Linked DNA regions of Xenopus tropicalis. The protein of the gene in region 1 binds, or shares a complex with, the protein of each later gene. Links are inferred from orthologs where the notes say so. Each region holds a gene or a part of one and is shown in the gene's direction. Other genes may lie near its edges.

Region 1 (3,930 bases):
CACATAAACTGTGTAAATATATATGTATCCCACAAATGTCTGGAGTTTTTTGTTTGCTTGACTAGCTCTTGTCACAATAAAAATATATTTTCCAGTTTTTATGTGTGTGCTAATTATACTGTGTAAATCTATGGTAAATATACCAATTAAAAGAATGTTTCATTCAAGGATATTACACACCAACATGTTGTAGTGTCTAAGGTTGGTAACTGTTTATGCAAGGCACTGTACAAAGTAGAAAATGGAAAACGTTTTCTATAAGTAACAAGCAACTTACTTCTCATATTAACATCGATTGGATTTAAACTTGTAGCGTGTACTTTAATGATGACTTCATTGGGGTAATTGATGACAGGAAATACCATGTTGCTATTGAAACGCATCACGTCATTGCTCCCATACTTGTCTATAACCCATGCAGGCATGACTAGATTTCTCTTTAGAGAAGTGCTGAATTCCTGAACACACGAGCATCTTTGTTTCGCAGTTTTAAAGATTCCAGGGTCACCGAATCTGTGGCTCTTAATTCCACTAATTAGGTGCCATCTAACAATGTTAATCATTTTCGGCAGAGGTACAGCAGTAAAGCTAGTAAATGCTACGTGCACTTAATACTGCAGTAGAAAACGTATTCAAAAGATTTTCATAATTATGATTGTAGAAATCTATGCAGGCATAATGCGTCAACAACTAATAATATCCAAATATATAGTCATTATTCTATTGCTAATGATGCCCGATGTCGTGATCGCTACTCTTTTTTGCAGTTGTTATTCAATTAACCTCTCTTTGCTGCTACAAGTCTTCTTTTCCCCGTGTCCTCTATTAGCTTCCGCGTTCCAAGCCTCGTCCCTCTCGTCAAATGGAAACAGTGATAATTCAGCGGCTAGCCAATACCTGCCCTCGGCTTTAGTTCTATACGTGTTTGCCAATCAACACATGGCAGCTCCCGGTAGTTTCAAGACTCTTTGGTTGCCTTTCATGTCTGCTGTACACTTTACAAACCGGTGACAGTTAAAGGTTAAAATGCTGGGAATGAGTTTACGGGAGGTGAGTGAGCTTAGAGTACACATCGTAATTAGAGAGCGGAAAAGGAACTGTACGATATGGTAAAATACACCTGGACTGTACAGGAGAGTTTCAATTTAAATGCTAGACACAACTCTTTTCTTAAAGAAAAGTGATGAATTGAAATATATCGCTATGGCCACATTCTGTATTTAAACCTATTAACTTAGATGTGTCACAAAGAAGCAGTCCTTTTTATTTTAATAGTGTTTGTTTACAGAGCCAATCCTGCACAGTATCTGACCTCCTGGACCAAGGGCCCTTCATCTGCCAATGCACTGTGCCTGTATGTGGAATGACAGATGAAGCTGTCAGAGCTGTAAGCAAGTGGTGCCATGGAAGGGCCTATGCACAGTGGGCATTCAGGGACATCTGAAGCGACACAATGACGCCACTAGGCCATGCTAGGGTTGCAGGGCTTAAAGGAGAAGGAAAGGTAAAAACTAAGTAAGCTTTATCAGAAAGGTGTATGTAAATACAGCCATAAGCACTCACAGAAACACTGTACTGACTTCTCTGTGAAAAGATTTCTTGTGTCGGTAATTCCTGTGCCAGACACGCAGCTTTCTGCTCTCTCCTCTCTCCTGCTCCCCCCTCCCTCAAGAATGCTAAGAACTCACCCCCCCTTAGGAATGTGGATCTGAGCCAATCAGGAGGAAGCTGACTCATAGTCTTACTAACTGAGCATGTTCACTTGGGTGTCTGTGCAGGAGTGAGGCATTATGGGAACTTTCTTTACACAGCTCAGCATTTTTTCTTCCTGTTTGGCTTCAGATCTTCTGAACAGGTGAAATTTGGGGAGACTTAAGGGCACTATTGAGACAACTGAAGGTATGCCTGCAGCTTGAGATTAATTCTTTATTAGCCTTTCCTTCTCCTTTAATATTGGCCATATATTGATTCCATATCCTGCATGGTTAATTAGTAATTCATTTAGATGCATGTGGCAGACTGAGCTGATTCATCATGTGTAGCCTTGCAGCATGCACAATGAACTGCTAACTAGCCATGAGGAGAATAAAAGGCTAATAAAGAGTTTATCTTAAACTGCAGGCATACCTTCAGGTCTCTCAATAGTGCCCTTAAGTCTCCCCATATTTCTCCTGTTCATGATCAGAAGCCTCATAGGAAAGAAAAACACTGAGCTCTGTAAAGAAAATTCCCATAATGACACACTCCTGCGCCAAGACCCCTGTACATGCTCAGTTTGTAAGACGATGAGTCAGCTTCCTGCTGATTGGCTCAGATCACGCATTCCTAAGGAGGGGGAGGGAGTTATTAGCATTCTTGAGGGAGGGGGGAGCAGGAGAGAGCTGCGCAGACTCTTTCACAGGAATTACAGAGACAAGAAATCTTGTTTCTTTTGATAGAGGACTAAGTGTAGCGTTTCTGTGAGTGCTTATGGCTGTATTTACATAGACCTTTCTGATAAAGCTAACTTAGTTTTTACCTTTCCTTTTCCTTTAAGAGGGGATTTTACAGAGGAGCAGGACAGAAAAGAGAGGGCTTCACAGGGCTCAAAAATTCAAATTTTATAAAATGATTTTTTTTCTATGTATTTGATCGTGGCTGCATTAACCTATATTGGTGGCAATTCAATGCTATCAAATTTAATTAATGTATAAATGTTATTTAGTAATGGTGATCCAGTGTACAAAACCAGAGGTCTTACATATTCTGGATAATAGATCATGTGCCTGTATTACGCATTTTTCAGTTGGGCCTGAATAAGTGCTAAATAAAGTATGTTCGCACATATTTCTTTATTTGTTTGGCATCAAAATCTGTGCACGCACAGATTTTATATATGTTTTAAACATCCATAGACCAAAAGTGTCCTCGAAAGGTGTTAGCTTTTCAAACAGGAAATAATATACAAAATAATTTTTTTCTAGGCAGCTGCTGCGCTGAGGCTTGGGCAAATAAAACCTACTGAGTTGTGCCAGAAGTGTCTTTCTTTTATCAAAGAAACATCATTCCTTAATGCTTACATAACTGTAACTGAAGACTTTGCCTTAAAGCAGGCAGCAGAAGCAGATGAGAGATTCATCCAAGGTAATCTTTATTTGTTATTACCAAAATTGGCAGTATCAGACTAAGGGGCACATTTACTAATCCACGAACGCTCTGAGCGTTCGTTCAGCGTATTTTCGGCGACTTTTCCGTACCTGCGCGACTTTTTCTTATTTTATTTTTTCGTACTTTGCAACAAAATTTGTGCGACAAAATTGTATTGTCGCGCCAAGTACGCAAGTTTCAGATTCATTCAAGCTTCGGTATCGTGACCCCTTGGGCCAGGTTGGAGTTGCACAGTGCCATTGATTCCTATGGGAGGCTTCCAAAATCATGCACAGAAGGATCAAAGTCGGAAAAGTTTTCCTGCATTTTACGATCGTTCGGATATGAAAATTTTGTGACTTTCAGATCGCCAATGCGATATTATCGTGACTAATACGATTTTTTCGTAAGCATATTCGTGATATTTGCGATCTTAAGAAATTATCATATCCGATCCGAATTTATCCCATTCGGGATTCGAACTTACGTTTTCATGAATGTGCCCCTAAATGTTTATGTTTTTCGGGGGAGAAACCTTTGCTGAAGGTGCTTTAGAAAGTTTGGGAGCTATTACTATACATTACCTTCATATATGTCCGTCATTTTTCATTTATCTAGAACTGCTTATTATTTTGAGAACCTACACTTTTACTTAGACACACAACCAAATGTAATTTTTTTTTTTAGCTAACTTTGTACAGACTTTGAATGGCTAGGCTTGCCTGTGACAGTTGGTCACTTTTAAAAGCCTAACGTAAGAAAAAAATTTCCAAGGACAAGATCAAAACCAAGAACTTCTGAAAT
Region 2 (3,036 bases), on another chromosome or scaffold:
CATGGACTCCTTAAGTATATGAAGAATACTCATACTCTTATTGCTCTCAGCACAAATATACATGTTAATCTATGACCTACAAAGGCCAACCATATGATATAGAATAAAATTGCAATGAGGCTGAAAACAGCAACAGGAATAGCAAAAATGAGTTAAAAATACAGTGAAAGAGTAGAATCCGAGGTTGATTTGTTTTGCTAAGGGGGGGCACATAAGGGATATCTTCTGGTTGGACACCCCACTGTACACTGTTTTGCTGCAGTCTGTATTTCTAGTTCAGCGCTGCACCTCGAGATTTAGCAATAAAACCCCTTTACACACCAAGCTTCCCCCTGGCCGGAAATGTGAAGATCAATTTTTACTAATTAATCCCCTGAAGACACCATGTGCTTAACCTTAACCCCCTAAACACACAAATATATATGTATGAAGACAGCAAATACTCGCCGTACAAACTGATTGTTACTTTGTTATTTATTATAAAAGTATTTTTCATTTCTAGGCGTGCAGGGGATATGACGTTATGGGCCCACTCTCTTCCGGGGCCCGCGTTGGGTCAGGAGGAGCCGTCGGATTCTGTTTTTGATTTACTAGGCCCCATAAAGTCCACTCCGTCCACCGGGATGTCCTTGTCCTTAATGGCTTTCTGAATAAAGGAAAGGGTATTAGTGCGCTGCTATAAAATGCCCATGTTATTATCACTATACAGAGTGCATTACCCACCTGAACACAATCTCTATACCGCCTGAAGAGCTCGGTGCACGGATCGCCACTACATTCTCCCTTTAAAAATTTCTCCGCAAACCAGCGGTTGAAGCACTGGTCATACTCCCGCTTCATATCCGTGCATTCCTCACCCACGCTGTTCATGCTGCCCGCAACAAACTCCTGACGAACACAGGTATTTCTTCACCTCGCAAATCTTTCTACGGAGAGCGAGATGCCGCGGCAGCCATCTTGTCCTAGGGCAGAGTCGCGACTGTCATCTTACAACACAAGCACGTCTATTGGCTGAAACCTTTTTTTTTTTTTATAAATGGCCGCCATCACCTCTTCATCAAGGTTACTGGAGAAACGCACGGTGGTGGTTCTAATATGACGTCATATTAAAGAGCCGCGCAAAATGTGGTTCCGAGCGCCGCTCTGCACCGCTTGGATTTCTGGTTTCCGACGTTCGTTGTCGGCGCAGAGTAAGGTATCATTTAGCTTATAATGACACTGCGCGTCAAGGTTTAGTCTAACGAATATCCTTGTACGACGCTGAAGTCGGGATTCTTATGTAGATATACCAGCTCACGGGCTTCCAGCTATTGCTGGACTACAAACTAGTAGAAACCGCTGTTGGGGATTAAGATGTCGCTATTTTCAATTTATAGGTACCGCCTAAACCAACATGGGACCTTCAACCCGAGATCAGAAACCAGGTGCGCACTCATATGCATGATTATAATTTAGTGCATAACTTAATTATGTATTACGGTTTCTCTATGCGCCCCCTACTGTTCATGTGTGCTCTATTCCCAGGTCATGTTAATCAAGAAAAGTATATAAATGTAAAACTACCTCTAAAGACAGACTATATATCACGTACATAATACATTTTACCAATTTTCAGAAACCCCTGATTAGCCTAGACACAATTGACCATCTTGAGCGGCTAGCATTAGTGGATTTCGGAAACGTAGAAGGCGTGCAGCGGCTTGAGAAGGCCATACAGTTTGCTGATCAGCTGCACAATGTCAACACAGAGGGAGTGGAACCTTTATCATCTGTGTTAGAAGACAGGTAATGTAATCTATATCTTCAACCATATCTCCCAATGATAAGTCTAAAACAACTGGACTTGCAAAGTAATCTTGAACATTTCACTACCTAGTAGTAAACTGTTTTAAGATTATTCAGCAAGTCCAGTTACTTGACACTTATCACTAAGAGATACTGCATAAATTAATATGTTATCATTTAGCTACCATGATAGAGCAGCAGCACAGGCTTGATACTACTGCTAGATTTATATATACTTTTTTGTGAAGAGGCAGTTTCAAGTGTTTGTAATGTGTTTTGCAGGACCCTATACATAAGAAATGATGCAGTTGCTGCAGGAAATTGTACCGAACTGCTCCTAGAAAATGCCAGAACTGTTGTAGAGGAATATTTTGTAGCACCTCCAGGTATTAAAGGTTTATATTTATATCCACAAACATTAATATAGATCCATTAGATGTCCTCATTCTCTTTTCTCCTCTTAATAAAAGGTAACATCCCTTTACCAGCTCAGCATGAAAGAGGTCTGTCTGAAGTCAAGAGCAGCTCCTGAACATCAAGGACCGGAATAGAAACAGCATAACAGCTTACTGTTTATTAGGACAGCTACAGATGCTTATTTTTATTTAAACTGAAACACTTTCATAATAAAAGGAACATACGTACAAACTTGATTGTGAAGAGGATTAAAAAGTTATTCCAAACTATACCTTTCTAACATACTGATGGCATTTAACTATATGTAGGACACATGTACTTTCCCTTAAGGTTGCATTGGTTCCATTAGCATTCTACTTGTTAGTTCCAGTATAGCAATTATGCACAGCGCATTTAACACAATTTCAGATCAGGCCATCCCTTCTTCCTAGGAGGCACAATACTATCTTTTGCCTTCTTGAAGATAGAACTTAAAAGAAAAAAACACCACACACCTTATGTCAAGAAAACATTTCTTTAAAAAAAAAAAAAAAAATGGTATAAAAGTTGATGAAATCCATCAGTCGTGGAATGTTGTTCTGAGTAGATGGGATTCAGAATTCAATTCATAGAAAGTGTCCCTATGGTGGCAACTTAGTACGGTCGAAAGGGAGAAGCATAACGAGGCGAGCGGCGGCTTTGATAAGGGGAATCACGCCCTCTTGAACGGGATCTGGAACGGGAGTAGCTGGTATTTCTCTCTGGGCACACACGGATATAAGAAGTTTCACCCTTTGGGGGAGAAAAAAAAAAAAGTTGGAAAAGAAAGTAACAGCCCAGAATGTACCCTATGTA

The links.
Region 2: qrsl1 (region 1) and gatc share a complex: the UniProt entries of both Homo sapiens proteins name them as parts of the heterotrimeric GatCAB amidotransferase (AdT) complex. The link is inferred for Xenopus tropicalis from reciprocal best matches to the Homo sapiens genes QRSL1 and GATC.

The regions. Positions count from the first base shown.
Region 1 is NC_030681.2:79,129,359-79,133,288, reverse strand, and holds the start of qrsl1 (glutamyl-tRNA(Gln) amidotransferase subunit A, mitochondrial), read left to right. Parts: upstream 1-977; 5' UTR 978-1,026; coding exon 1,027-1,050; intron 1,051-2,963; coding exon 2,964-3,123; intron 3,124-3,930. Other genes in the region: rtn4ip1 (reticulon-4-interacting protein 1, mitochondrial), read right to left, coding at 278-425. UniProt on the Homo sapiens protein: Allows the formation of correctly charged Gln-tRNA(Gln) through the transamidation of misacylated Glu-tRNA(Gln) in the mitochondria. The reaction takes place in the presence of glutamine and ATP through an activated gamma-phospho-Glu-tRNA(Gln).
Region 2 is NC_030677.2:151,738,278-151,741,313, forward strand, and holds gatc (glutamyl-tRNA(Gln) amidotransferase subunit C, mitochondrial), read left to right. Parts: upstream 1-1,092; 5' UTR 1,093-1,123; coding exon 1,124-1,195; intron 1,196-1,376; coding exon 1,377-1,424; intron 1,425-1,615; coding exon 1,616-1,785; intron 1,786-2,067; coding exon 2,068-2,171; intron 2,172-2,255; coding exon 2,256-2,317; 3' UTR 2,318-2,438; downstream 2,439-3,036. Other genes in the region: triap1 (TP53-regulated inhibitor of apoptosis 1), read right to left, coding at 557-646, 724-870; srsf9 (serine/arginine-rich splicing factor 9), read right to left, coding at 2,836-2,973. UniProt on the Homo sapiens protein: Allows the formation of correctly charged Gln-tRNA(Gln) through the transamidation of misacylated Glu-tRNA(Gln) in the mitochondria. The reaction takes place in the presence of glutamine and ATP through an activated gamma-phospho-Glu-tRNA(Gln).